Linked DNA regions of Lonchura striata. The protein of the gene in region 1 interacts with the protein of each later gene in a pairwise test. Links are inferred from orthologs where the notes say so. Each region holds a gene or a part of one and is shown on either strand. Other genes may lie near its edges.

Region 1 (7,286 bases):
TGCATGAAGAGAAACAATTCTACATGCAGCTCTCTGATGGTGATGGCACTCTACCCCAATCAGAGGAAAAGCTTAGCTAACGGCTTCAACAACAAAGCTTGATGCTCCATTAAAGACCAGACCTAAAGTTCACCAGAATTTCAGGATTAATGGTACATTCCCCTTAGCACTTCCAACTGCCTGAGCTGTGAAAAATAAAACAAAGCTGAAGGCTCTTCCTATAACTGCCATATGTAGCAGGAAAATCAAAGGCTAAATATTACATTAAACATTTAATTCTATTGCTATTCCAGGCATATGTATTTGTTCTCAATAACTAGAAAAAATAAACTGATAGAAGACAAAAGACACACCCAAAAAAAGTACAGTAATTTTACCTTTGCTGAGATAAATTTACTTCTCTGAAGAGCAATGTCTTCTACACGGGATCTAACAGATGACACAAAACAGAAAAGAACCCAACCAAAGAACCACAATGCAACAGCACTCCATGACAATCTTAAACATAACAACATCGACTTGAACACAATTACCATTAGTCAGTCAAAAGTGTCAGGAAGAATGACAAGTTTTTGAAGAGCTTCTTTTGAAAACAGATACAGAATTTTTCACACTGCAGCCAAATTGGATTAAATTAATTCATGCTACAGACTACATGTGTGATTTGCACCTTTTATATGGCATATTGGAAGAAAATAAGATTTTGTGTTAATAATGAAGTGAAACCATTCAGAGTTGTCACAGGCAGGGATTCATTGTATGTTTTTTTCACAGCAACAGGTAACTTACTGTACTGCCTCAAGAGGATTATAACTTCACAACTGATCTTATTTGCTTCCAGTATCATAGAATCAGAAAAGGTCTTTTGGTATCACTAAAGGAGGGGAGGGGACAGGAGGAGCATGAGCAAGGATTTTAGCAGTGATGTAAATCTTCACCTCTGTTCCCTTAGACTTTGCCCTTTCAAATTGCAAGCTGACTACAACATACAAAAAAGGGGGGAGAATATGCTCAGAATTACCCTGAGGAAAGCTTTTTTGTATACTGTATCAAAGACATTTTGAAAATGCCTTCTGGACATCAGAAAGAAAGAACACCATCTCTTATTCTAACAATAGAGTTAAACTAAACATCATCCTTCCCTACCAATGACTGGAGTACAGCAACTTGCAGATCCAAGGATCTGCCAATTAAGGTATGGCTTCTCATAGAGAGCTCCCTGGAAGCATGAAGCTACCAAAACTTGATTAGTGGAGGATAAATACAGAAAACCTTCCAATGAAGTGACAGGCTAGCCTGCACTCAGGTAACTGCGCTGCAGTAACACGCTGACAGGCTTAACCGCAACACACACTCATTCTTCCAGTTCAGTTCACAACTGAAATTAAACCAACACTCTTTACAGGGTGACAACAGCAAGTGACAACTCAGCCACAGCAAACAGAGCAAATAGTCATAGAATTTTATAACCCATATTCAAGAGGGGATTCTATCCAGTTCTGCAAGGCAGTTTATGTATTTCTAGAGCCTCATAGCCTTGAAAAACCTATATAGGATGGAGAAAACAAATTCACCATCTCATTTTTTTTTAATGTAAGAAACCACCTCACCTAACCATTTTGGGAAAATTTCTACTTGATCAACCTACAACACATAAACATTAAGATATTTTTTGAAACTACTGAACAACTTACAAACTTAAGAACAAGAAGCTAGCCTGTCAAAGGTATTTTATTGCTTTATAGATATTCAGTGAATCTAATATTGCGTGGAAACTTTTGGCCTTCTAGAGAAAAAAACTATTCAGGCAAACCCGCATTATCTCCGGATTGCCACAGCCTTTCCTTATTTGGCTAACGTTTTGAGATTCCAATCAGACTGCTATGAAGTTCAACATGCACAAAGCATCCATTTTGAGGAAACTTCACAGCCAGTTTCCCGTGCATTCCCCCCCTGACCCAAGTGAAAGTTACCTCCCTTGGTACCAACACCCCTCCCACATACCCACACCAGAACAAAGCGATATGGATAGGGTTTTTTAATGCTCTCCAACGCACGAAAAAAAAATTTAAGATCCCTGTTCCGCTTGAAGTTCAGCTTTCACACTGCGGCGGGAGCCATCGTAACGAAAACAACCCCTTACTGATACGCGTTTCTATATAATGAACAAAACACTGGCTTCCCCTAGAAACCGGAGAAAAATAGATGATCTGTCTCTCAACAGGGCCGCCCGCACACACGAGCGGGCTTTAATCGGCTCAACTACTGCGGAACCGGGGAGACGAGGGAAGCAGGGAGCTACTACCCGGATTCCAGGCAAGGGGCAGCGGCAGAAGCGCCCCCCGAGGGCGGCCCGCTTCTTCTCACCTGCAGCCACCCTCCCTCGCCGGGGGGCATCTACCTCCGGCCCCCTCAGCCCATGCTGGGCCGGGCCCGCACCCCCAGCCCTCCAAGGGAAGCGCTGCCAAAAGGGGAAAACGAAAGAAGGTGAGCGGCACCTCCTTCCCGCCGGAGGAGAGGCCCATCCGCCCATTCCGACGCCCAGCTCGCGGGGAGGGGGTGCAGCCTCCCGCCCCTGCGGCCCCGCCGGCCCGGGGCTCGGCCCGCGGCCCCGGCCGGTCCCAGGCTGACCCTGCCGCCACCTCCCCGCCCCGACACCCCCCAGCGGAGGGAGCGCAGCCGCCTCCGGCCCCTTCCTCCTCCACCTCCTCCTCCGGAGCGGAGGAAGGGGGGGGGGAGGGGGGGCAGCCGGCCGGCCTCGCCCCCTCCGCCCCAGTCCGGCTGGGGTCCCTCCTCGGCCCAGCACCGACCTGGTGGAGAGCGGTGAGCCCGTCCACATTGGCGTAGTTGATGTCGGCGCCCCGCTCCAGCAGTCGCAGCACCTCCTCGGTGTCTCCGCTGGAGCAGGCGGCCAAGAAGACGGCGCCGTCGTCAAACTTCACCTTGGTCTTCTTGCGCTTGACCACGGGCGGCTCCAGGTCGGTCTCGGAGCCGATCCAGCGCTTCAGCTGCTCGTTCCGCTTCTGCTTGGCGTCCGCCATCTTCATGCCCCGCTCGCGCCGGCCCCCTCAGCCACGGCCGCGCCGAGCGTACACTTTATACCGCCACTATCCCACAGCGCACCGCGGCCGCGCGCGCTCACCCGCCCAGGGAGGGCGCGGGGCGGGCGGGGAGCGGAGAGGCGGGGCGGCGGCGGCCTCGTTAGCATAATCCCGCGAGATCGCGGGGGGGCAGTGCGGCGGGAGGCCGCGCGCGAGCGGGGCGGGGCCGCGCGGGCCGAGTGGGCAGAGGGCAGAGGGGAGTGGGAGTGGGCGTGGGCAGAGGGCAGTGGGGAGTGGGCAGAGGGGAGTGGGCAGAGGGCAGTGGGGAGTGGGCAGAGGGCAGAGAGCAGTGGGCAGAGGGCAGAGGGCAGTGGGGAGTGGGCAGAGAGCAGTGGGGAGTGAGCAGAGGGCAGTGGGGAGTGGGCAGAGAGCAGTGGGGAGTGGGCAGGGAGCAGTGGGGAGTGGGCAGAGGGCAGTGGGGAGTGGGCAGAGAGCAGTGGGGAGTGGGCAGAGAGCAGTGGGGAGTGGGCAGAGAGCAGTGGGGAGTGAGCAGAGGGCAGAGGGGAGTGGGAGTGGGCAGAGGGCAGTGGGCAGAGGGGCGTGGAGTGGGCAGAGAGCAGTGGGGAGTAAGTCCAGCCCCGCCTCCGTCGGGCCCTTTCTAAAGGTGCTGCCCATTCCCGACGGTGACTTCTGTCACCTGCGGCAACAGGTGGGTGTTTCTGCCTGCGTTGGCAAACGAGGCATATGGAACCACTTGACTGGAAAAGAGAAAATAAATGGAGCAACATGGTTGAGGGTCATTTGTTTTGGGAGGTTAGATAGGACTACCTCAGCACAGTTTGATCTACAAAAGCACCCCCTTTGCCTCTACACTTCAGGGGGCCTCTAGGGAAGCTGAGGAGAGACTCCTTTTCAGGAACTGTAATGATAGAACCAGGAGTAATGGGCACAAATTACGCTAGATGTTTTTGTAAAAAATTCTTCATTGTGAGTGCGGTGAGACACTGGAACAGGTTGCCCAGAGAGGTTGTGGATGCCCCAGCCTGGCAGTGATTAAAGCCACTTTGGATAAGGCCTTGACCAGCCTGGTGTAGAGGGAGGTGCTGCTGCCCATGGCAGGGGATTTGGATTAGTTGATTTTCAAAATCCATTTCAACCCCATCACATTCTGTGATTCTATCATTCTGCATGGCAGTGGACAAAGCCCTGTGATTGTTGTCCTTTTCACTTACAGTTCACTTCCATGATGTCAAAACTGGGGAGTAGCACAGTCATCCTTTCTCTTGGGAGAAAACAAGTAGTTAACAAACCACACAGGATTTGAAGATACAAAGACTAAAATGTTTTTCTTCAGATTTGCAACTTCTAGGAACCAAGCTATAACAGATAATAAAGTTTTTTTTTCTATGCACAGCATGCTTTCTTTAGCTAAGCAATATGTATTTGGCTTTAAATGGAATAATCTCTGGGATAAAATGTGGTTTTGAACTTACTGGAAAATAAGTTTTATTTTCAACTAATTACAGGAAACCAAGTATAGTTTGAGAGAGTCACCAAACCTCATACACTTCAAATTTTGCATAATTTGTGCTTTTCTAATTACAATGTCTCCTTCTTACGGTGGGCAATTGTGCAGCTGACTAGGACTCTTATTTCCATTTATATTGATAAAGATGTCCGTGACATTTCACAAGAAGTAGTAGTTGCAAGATACCTGCAGCAATGTGCTGTTCTTAATGTCTTTCAGAAGAGATTTTCATCTGGAGATATTTGCATAATATCCATCAGACTTACTTATACAGCAGTGCATGAGCTACATGCACTGACAGTTTGCAGGCGTAATGTGATTGAGAACAAAAGACAACATCTGGTAGTCAAGAAGAAAGATTTGCCAGAAAAAGATTTGCAGTCTAAGTAGGTGGATGAAAGATTACCTGGCACCTAATTTATACCTTCCCTTTGGCAGCCTGTGTCTATCCAGGGGTACATTTTAGGTTCCTGGATTTGAAAATATGGCTGACTGCAAAGCACAATTCAAGACCAGTCTTTGCAGTGTTTATTACTCACACGAGTGATTTGGCTGTGCTTTGGCATAGCACTGGTACCACCCAGCATGGCATGGACAGTTACCAGCTGGGAGCTTGGCTGCAGCACCTGACTCATGTCTAAGGAGGGAATTTGTGCAGGTTCCAGCCTCCTGCTGTAGTCTTGTCCTTGTGGGCAAACTCTCCCAGGGCAGACTCAACACAGTGCCATTTCCTAAGGACTTGAAAACTATACCCTGGAAAAAGGCAATGCAAGACAAAAGCTTCTTTCCCCTGCCCCAGATGTCTCAGATATTTTACAAGTCACCTCCCCATCATGCTTCTCTCTCAGTTGGCTGTCTGAAAATTTGACTCTTCAAGAAACCTCATATCTGAAGAATGTTTGATTTCAGCAAACAATATTTAAATATAGTGCTTTATTAGCAAGAAAGTAATTCTAGGCAAATAGATAGGCATATGTTCAACATGCACTTTCTCAGGAATTTCAATGTCACGGAGCAAGTTTCTAAGTTTTCATTAGAGTTCCAGTCCCCTCTGCTTGATTTCAATTTTCCAGTTCAGCTTTTTCTTTCTGGTCAGGGATCCTCTTTTAACTCCAACTTGCTCTTCTTGTCTCGTTAGTGAAATGCAGAAGTTCTACAGCTCAATTTTATTCTTAAATAAAATATTTTTTTATTCTTAAAACCCAGATTTCATATTTTCCTTTTATTCTTCTTTCCAGGAAAGTTTTTTCACTGATTCAGCTCCAGCTTTTCAGAGAACTTCAGCAAATATTTTTCCATTCACTGCAGCTATTTGTATGCTCCAAATTCTTGACATTATTTTCCTTGACTTTTTAATTTTTTTGGATTGCACATCATGGTAGGGAGTTATGTTTGAGGGGTTTTGCAGACACTACAGGCAAGATATAATTCATTTGTACAGTCAGCTGAAACTCAGATATTCCATATATATTGAGTATGAATGTCCTTTGGAGATAGCTATGTGCTCTGCTGGAAATTATATGTAGTTCTTAAATCTAGCAAAGCATATGGTCTTCCTTAAGCAAAAAGTAGAGTTGTAATTTCTGTAAACTAGTTAATCTCTGCAAGTGTTCACACTTCAAGAAGGGAATAATAATACTAATAATAATATTTTTAATTTCTAATTTTTTCCTACCTCATATCTCTAATAAATGTTTGCAATTTAAATAGCAAAGGCATATTGGGTCATATTCTTTACCCCATCACAGTGCCATTCTACCCCATGTCTAATGTCATCCCATGTCATTGGAAAATCAGTGTAGCTGAGAGATGAGACGGTCTAGAGCTTCTAATTCCATACAAATTGAGCTAAACATATATAAATACCAATAATAATTTTGGTACAAATATGAAATTATTTTCCCATTATTTGCCTAAGCCTGGAGTGTTAAATTCATTTGTGTAAAGGGTTAGAGCAAACATATATTAAAGCTGTTTTTGAAGACCATGTTAAAAGTGAGTATCAAATTAGTTCTAAAAGAGTCACTACTGCAAGAGAGTATCACAAGAGTGAATTAGATAACTGCATAAGTATGCATGTTTACAATAATCATAGTTGCTAATAAGAGGCACTTAACCATTTGAGCTACATTATGAGTGCAACTTAAGGATGTGTCCTACGTTAGATCTAGTTTTATCAGGCTTTTTCGGTGTATTGCTACCAGACTACCCAACACACTAGGTGTGCTGTTAAATCCTTTGTTTGCATGTATATACACAATCCCAAAGGTGATTAAGTATGTAATTTTCCACATACAAATACTAGCACTGAATTCAGTACAGCTGTTTTTCTGTAGAGGTGATGATGTAAACATTTCACAGAGATAGCATCTATGTGTATACATGTTTCCAGTAAATTTAATGACAGGCTTCAAGTGATCAATACAATGATTTAGCAATGAGATTGCTATCAGTGTGTTTTCTGGTTTTCCATCCTTTCTTAAAAGCACTACAACCATTGTTCAAAGCTATTTCGCACAGGCTTCTAGACAACAAATGTTCACAGATTAAGCTTTTGACTACCCAAGATCATCATCTTTTGGGATGTAGAATTTTGTTCTGACCTCCAAGTGGATAATTGCTGCCGTGTCTCTCATTTTGTACAGCATTACACACAGTGTGGCTTCTAAAAATTTTGCCTTAAGATTTTCTCCCCTGATTGAAGGAAAACTAATAGA
Region 2 (7,714 bases), about 43 Mb from region 1:
AACTGTGAATGTTTGCTTTCTTCCCCCAAGTTCTGACCATTCTTCCCAACATTTCTTCCCACCCTCTTTGCTATTCTAGGGACATACTCAAAGCTTGGGCTTTATAATTAGTAAGGATAAACCATGGTCATTTAACCATGCCACTAAGCTGGAACACATGCAGTTACTTTGCTTACTGAAGTTTGGGGCAAACACCAGAGAATAATATCCTAGGAGAGAAAAACCTACTGCATGCCTAACATTATGGAAGGGAATTAAACTCTGACTTGCAGTTAGAAAATACGGTAACTACTTTCCTTAGTCCAATAAAATAAACTCAGTTCTTCTTTGAAATAGGAAGTGTTAAATTTGTGGCAATTTATTAAATGCTGGAGCTTTGGCAGTTCACAATGTACTTGAATGACTATAAAAAACAATTTCTTAAGAGCTGAAGCAGTGTTTCTTCCAAGGATTATTTTTGGAAGCTCCTATTTGCTGGATGTTATTTGTGTCCCTTTCCAAGAGGTGGTGAGTTTAAGCACTTTCTGTTGCAGGGCAGAAGAAGGACATTGGTGAATAAGGAACTCTCTGGCTCCTGCAACCCTGACCAAACATACCTTTCTGGGGGAGAGCAGCTGCATGGTTCAAGGGCAGCACGAGAGGAAGGGGAGCTCTGCCTGCCTTTCCTGGGCAGCTCCAGTACCACAGCACATCACTGCTGACAGTTCCTTGAGCAGATTCCTTCCATGGGCAATTAGCCTTCACAAAGCATGAACGGACTAGTTTTCTATTAGGAGACTGAATTTTAGCTGACAAATTAGACAGGTTCCCTGAGGCCAGAGTTATGCAGCTTTGCCAGTTTCACTAAAAATGTGATTTATAACAGATTCCTCAGCAGAGGCACTCCTTGCTTCAGGAATGAAGGTGCACACTGTACTCAAACTCTTCATCTGATCATGAGGGTTTTACAAACTTTTGTCTTCTGCAGGAAAAATTGACTGTTACTTGCTTTTGGCTTATCAAGTGACTCCTCATTTGTCCATGAATGGCTAGTGGGAAGCTACAGTGCATATTTAGAAGTCAGGCATGCAGGTGTAAATAACATTTTAGGAGGTAAGAGTATTTAAGTTTGGGAAGGTAAGTCGATGTAGCTGGATGGAGTTTCTAGCTGTGAAAACAATGCAACAGATTTTGTCTAAGATGTGTCTCTGGCTTTTGATGACTCTGGCATGAAATAGGAGCACAAGTATCTCACCCTGCATGCTCCCAGCAGAGGTGCTGGGCAGGGACTCCTGCTGCACCCTGGTTGTGATGCACCCTGGGGGCAGGATGAGCCAAGGACGGCCGCTCCATCTGTGCGGGGCAAGCATGGCTAAGAGACAAAAATAAAGTCTAGCAGCCACAAATACCATGTTGTGCTTTGCTGCCTTTAGTTCTGCCTTTAAACCAGACCACTCTGAAAGGGAGACAAAAAAATAAAAATTCCCAAAGGTAATGGAAGACTCAGAGTTTTTGTGCAGGTGCAGAGTCACAAAAATGATGGGCAAGGAGAAAAGGGAAGAAAGAATCAGATCCCAGACCCAATTCCTGCCAACTGAGGCTCCACCTCTGATTCATCACAAAGTTTTCTCCTTGTTTCACCCTCTGGTGTAAGCAGCATTTGTATTCTGTGAATATCAGCACATATTCAGATCAAAAAGCAGGCTCACCCATCCCTGACAGTGTCCTGAACATGTCTGTGTTTGCATGGAATTAATAGTTAACATTTTAATTATTAATGTATATTATTTAATATCTGCATGCTGTGTTACTGAGGTATGAGGCACACTCAGACTGGTGAAGTATGGAAGGGGAGGCTAAAAAAGCTTAGGCAGCCTAGATCTAGCAAGTGTGGCACACAGATGCAGACACAGGGGGCTGATTTTATTTGGATAAGTTTTGGACTTAAGGAGAATGTTGCACAGGTGAACAGATGGACAAATGCCTCCTTCAATATCTGCTTTTATCTCCATGGGAGCTGGGAAATTTATAGCTCCAAAGTATTATTACTCCCAGTCATTAAAGAGTGTGGGATTTTTTTAATTTAAAAGCTTGTCATACACATACAAATTATGACTTCTGAGGAGGCCAAATCTTATAATCAGTAGATGCAGATGGAAACTATTAAACTTGACATAAATTTGTGTCTGCTTAAAAAAGATGTTAGCTAAAAAAAATTAATAATCTATCACTTTAGTCTTCTAACATGACCTTCTGGAAACAGACATATAAAACAGGAATGGATCAAAGCTTCTCTTCATATACATAATTAGACAAATGGTTTTCGACAGCCTTTACATACTGGTTTAAAAGAAACTTAATTTTCTTTTATGCAAATTCACAGGTATGACAGGGAGATTTCATCAGATATTTCTTCAATGGGTTAAGGTTTTGAAATTTAAAAGCAAAAAAAATCCTTATATCTGAACCTTATGAAATCTTCTGATGTTATTTTAATAGCAATATTTGTTCTTTTTTTAAAGTTTAGGTTGCATGATTCTTTCAATGAATATTAAGCCAGCATAGGAAAATTCTGAGAAAATTAAGTTCTGAGATTTTTAACTAGAACTTCACAAGCTTCATAATATTATATCAAAATGAATGCTTACAATTTTCAATAACTTTTTTCTTGTAAGTATCGAAGCTTTTCTTATAGCTGCAAAAATTGACAAAGATCTAAAGAAAAAGATTCTGTAAAACTGAAGTTTAACCCTTTATTTCTCAGTTCTGTCAGTCTAGCAACTCTGTATCACTGGATATATTTTCTCCTTAGAGACAATTCTCTAGAAATAATAGAGATAATATATGTAGCAACTTCTAGTTACCAGTAGCATCTTCTAAAATATTATTTCTTAAGATCACATTAGACTTGGGCTAATGACATTTCTTAAGATGACATTAGGCTTTCATAAATTCTGCAAAAGCAAACTTCATAGGAATTTGTCTCCTAACATGAAGATATCAATCCCAGGCCTATAGCTCTCACCTTGCAAAGCTTATCTGCTGACAGATGTTGCACATATGGAAAATCTTTTGAAGACTGAGGTTATTGTGATTTAGAATCCTAAGCTATCCTGAGTTGGAAAGAACATGTGTCCTGTGATTTTAGTGTACAATAAAGATGAGTAGACTAACTCATTTCACAGATGGAATTAACAAATTAAATTGACTCTACACCAGCAGTGAATCATTCAAACTCTACAGTCTAATAGTTTTAGGCTGAGTTCTGCTGCCCACTATTTTACCTCCACTAGATGTCAGGCTTTTGACAGAGCTGGAGGAGTTTAATCTCTATTTCTCAGTATGAAGCTTGGTCAGGATCATAGCTACGGTTCTCCAATTCCAAACACCAGCAGTAATCCAAAATAGGAGATACTGAGTCACTATATGAGTTTTCCTTGCTTTTCATTCTTTTAGGCCTTGTTTTTTCCCTGCAGCAAATTTCTCAGCTTTGGCAGGTACACCAATGCTGGTACATGGAAGCACTTCCAAGCAGTGTGGGATTCCCTGTGGGCATTTCCCTTTGCTCCTCCATTCATTGGTTTGACACCTCTGTTCAGGAAGACTGCTTAACTGGTGAGTTCCTCAAAAATATTCAAGCACGTGCTTCTTTACTCTCTGGGAGCAACCAAGTGGTGGTGAGTTCTTTTGTTATTTCTGCTCCCTAGTAGGCACATTTATTTCTATTTTCTGGGAATGAGATAGAATTTCAGACAGTATTCCCATTTCTCCAACAGCACCTTTGTGAGATATTTGAAGTAGCCAGGCTGGCCTCCAAGCTTAGCAGGTGAATTACATTTGCCAAGCAACAGAAAGCAGATAGCATTTCCAGGATTTCATGCAGGATTTTGTAAGACTTTGCTCCACAGATGCTAAGCAATGGCTGCCACAGTCCCCAAAAAGTGAGTTTCTCATGTGGAGTTCTGCAAATACAGAGCAATCTCAGCAGGTTTAATGTGGAGAGTGATTGCACACTGTGCAAGAGCAATGAGTCTGCTTTCTCTAGTGTTCAGTCACAATTAGTCTTTTTGACCATCGGAAGCTAATTTCCCACCCACACACATACAGATGAACTTCTCATACATGTTTAGAAAATGCTGAACGGTATGTATAAAAAACAAATATTAAAAATGTAGAATTTAATTTAAAAATATTTCAAAACCTGGAGCAAAGTAGTATTAAGGCTTGGACTGGGAGGGACCTTAGAAATCATCTAGTTTCACATCCCTGCCACAAGCTGGTAAATTTGTATATAATTAGGACATTAAGCATGAAATAATAATTCCCGCAATTCATGTATTTTTGTATTAATTTAATATTTGTTTTGCTCCGAGACGGGTCTCCCCAGGAGCGCGCGGCGCGGTGTGGGGCGCGCGGCGTGACGGGAGCGGGCGGCGCGCGGAGAGCTTGCTGAGGGGAAAAGGCGCGGGCGGCGAGGCGCAGCTGAGGGAAGGCGGCGCCCCTCAGGCGGAGCGGCCATCTTGCCGCCTCCGCACGCGGCCCTCACGCCCGGCGGCGCGGCACCGCCGCCATTTCCGCGGGCGGGGGCGGACCCGGGGCAGGTCGGGTGATGGCGGGGGCGGTCCCAGGACCGGGGCGGGGTCGGCGATGGGGGCGGTCCCGGGGCGGTCCCGGGCGATGGCGGCGGGGGCGGTCCCGGGCCCGGGGCGGGCGATGGCGGCGGCGCTGCCCGCGGCCCGCCTGGAGAGCGTGCGGGCGCTGTCGGCTCTGCTCCGGGAGGCGCAGCCCAGGTAGAGGGGAGCAGGGAGCGGCGTTGCCGCTGGATGTCGGGCTCGGCTCCCGGCGCGGTCCTGCCCCAACGTGGCTCGGAAAGGGGCTCTCGGTGCCCCCGTGGGGGTGCGCATCAAGTCCTGGGGAGGTTCTGCACCCCCGGATTCCTCGTGGGGCTGTGCGTGTGTCGGGGGGTGATCTGTCCTGCCCCAGGGCTCCATGAGGAGCTGCAGTGTGCTCAGGCCTTGTGCCTGTGGCAGGGAGAAAAGGTGTTTGTTTCTTAGTTGTGGGTAGCACCAGTTATCCTAGAGATACAGAATGGCTTGGGTTCCAGGAACGGTAAAACTCATCCTATCCCACCCTTGCTATGGGCATGGTTATCTTGCACTGCCCCAGGTTGCTCCAAGCATTGTCCAGACTGACCTTGGACACTTCAGGGATGGGGCAGCTGCAGCTTCTCTCGCAAACCTGTCCCAGGACCTCCCTGGCCTCACAGGGAAAGATTTCTTCCTAACATTCAGTCTAAACCTACTCCATCGGGCTGAAGCTATTGCCCCTTGTTCTGTCACTTCAGGCTGGTGTCAATAATCTCCATCTTCCTTGCAGGCTCCCATCAGGTACTGGAAGGCATTGTTTAGGTCAGCTCAAAGCTGCTTCTCCAGGCTGAGCACTCCCAAGTCTCTCAGCCTTTCCTAATTGTAGAGTTGCCCCATCTGTCTAAACAGCTTGGTGCCTCGTCTGAATTCTCTCCAACAGCTCCATCTCCTTTCTGTGCTGGGACCCCACAGCTCAAGGCAGCTCTGCAGGTGGGGTCTCACCTGAGCAGGGCAGGGAAGCAGAATTCCCCCCTTCACTCCCCTGCTGCCCATGCTGGGGGCTCAGCCCAGCACAGGGGGGTGTTCTGGCTCCCAATACACGTGGCCAGGGCACGTCCAGCTCTCAGCACCACCACCCCCAAATCCTTCTCCCAGGCTGCTCCATCTGCTCATCCCTAGGCTGAATTGATCCTTGGGGGTTGTCCTGACCCAGGTGCAGTGCCAGCACTTGGCTCTTGTTGAGCCTCATGGGATTCCATGGACTACTTGTGGGGCTTGTGGTGCCTTTCTGGGCAGGCACATTAGGTGGGATGTAGCTGCTCTGGGGCAAAAAACCATGGAAGCCCTTCAGGGTGTTCAGAAGTGGGTGAGATGTGTCTGTGTGAGGCCCTGCTGGGGGACAGTCTCATTCCCATGTGAGGCCAAAGCTTTGGGATGTGAGCCTTGGGGACAAAGGACCATGCCCAGCATGGCAGGATGGGCTGCTCTGACTTCACAAATTTATCTATTTCAGAGAAACAGCAGAAGAAAGTGTGTTTCAGGATGTCCTGGAAATCCTGAAGAGCACTGCTAGTGCCCTTGAGCAGACCTGTAAGGACTCCTGTGGGCTGACAGATTTAGACACCTGCCTGCTGCTCATAGCAGAGTGCTTCAGATGCCTGAGGAACGCATGTGTTGAGTGTGCCAAGAATCAACGTGTCTTGAGGTACAGTTGTGAACCCTCTTAGCCCATACCAAAGTACCACCTTCAGCTGTTTATGTGGTTTTATAAAAGAGATTATTTTACACTGTTCTGTTAGTTGATTTATTAACTGGCATTTCCTGCTTGATGGAATCAATTGAATTCAAATATGCAAGAAACAAAATTAGTTGCCCTATTTGTAGGTCAGTTTAGGGCCCTGCTCAGTAATAGAACAAAGTGTTAGGGTCCGTAATGCAAGTTGGTTACACAAATGATATAAGCCTCCTGGAAGCCTGACTGTAGAACTATCATTTTTTCTTTTTCTTTAATTTTTTATAACATAATGAATAATGAATCAGTGACTGGTCTTAATAATCAATTACAGAATTAGCATGTCTTTTAAGGTTCATTTAAATCTGTCTGGCTTTCCTGGCAAAACACAGCATGAAGAAATGTGCATATTGAACCATATTGATCCATATTGATCTACATATATACAGGCAAGTTGAGCTTAAAGGATATTAAATCAATCTGGTTTCTTAAGTTATTTAGTCTTTCTGTTCTTTGCTTGTGTCTGTTGCAATATTGAAGGGATGCTTGTGATACAACCAGTTAGTTGTAGTTAGTGAAAACCTGACAGTCTGGTTGATGTTTTTAAAAAACTCAGCAAAATAGCAGCAAACACCCTCCTTGCTCGGCTGCCCCATGAGAATCCCAAGCTAACCAACCAACAAAAAAACCACCAGAACTTGTCACAAGTTGGTTATATCAAAAATTATTGGGGACTACAGTAATAAAAATTGGCTTCTTGGGACATGTCAAATTTGGTTTACTGAACTGAATGTAATTTTGACCTGGGACCAAGTCTTAGTTTCTGTGCTGGGGCAGAATTCTGTTAATGCCACAGAAATTGTAGTGCAAGTCATTCTGAGAGTCTACCTATGATTCCTCCTCACTGGAGAAAGGCTAAATGATTACTTGGCTTCCTCTGCTCTCTGAGAGTTGTGCATGTTCCCCTTTCAGCTGCCCTGTTGTTTTTTTGGTAGCTGTCACTAACTGCTTTGTTGGCATTGAAAATCCTCCAAGTTTATTATGAAGTAGGATACGACTCTTGTTCTGGATGCTTGACATCCAGACAAAGCAAAGTTCTTACAGAAATAAAGCTATTTAAATTACAGAAATAACTTGCTAATGTTTAATGTCTGGTAGGAAGAATAGCAAAAAGGGAGGAAAGGGTGCTTAGCTCTGAAGATTCTGAGTCCAAAATGTGTAAAATGCAGGATGATGCAATAAACCCCTTTGATTTGCTTCTGATGGTAGTAATGTAGCTACTGATAGGCAGACAGTAATGTAGGATAAACTATTTTTGTTTCAGAGGTCCTGAAGATGCTAAAGATTTCCTGTTAACTTTGGTAAAAAGCCTTTTAAATTTTTTTGAGTGCATTCCATATCAAGTGAATAATTATGT

Evidence for each region.
Region 2: the proteins of PPP1R12A (region 1) and ATXN10 interact in binary tests that used the Homo sapiens proteins (3 or more experiments, as listed by UniProt). The link is inferred for Lonchura striata from reciprocal best matches to the Homo sapiens genes PPP1R12A and ATXN10.

What each region holds. Positions count from the first base shown.
Region 1 is NC_134607.1:48,671,335-48,678,620, forward strand, and holds the start of PPP1R12A (protein phosphatase 1 regulatory subunit 12A), read right to left. Parts: upstream 3,160-7,286; 5' UTR 3,048-3,159; coding exon 2,811-3,047; intron 2,519-2,810; exon of another isoform or gene 2,499-2,518; intron 1-2,498. UniProt on the Homo sapiens protein: Key regulator of protein phosphatase 1C (PPP1C). Mediates binding to myosin. As part of the PPP1C complex, involved in dephosphorylation of PLK1. Capable of inhibiting HIF1AN-dependent suppression of HIF1A activity.
Region 2 is NC_134607.1:5,565,330-5,573,043, reverse strand, and holds the start of ATXN10 (ataxin-10), read left to right. Parts: upstream 1-4,654; 5' UTR 4,655-4,656; coding exon 4,657-4,769; intron 4,770-6,078; coding exon 6,079-6,270; intron 6,271-7,714. UniProt on the Homo sapiens protein: May play a role in the regulation of cytokinesis. May play a role in signaling by stimulating protein glycosylation. Induces neuritogenesis by activating the Ras-MAP kinase pathway and is necessary for the survival of cerebellar neurons.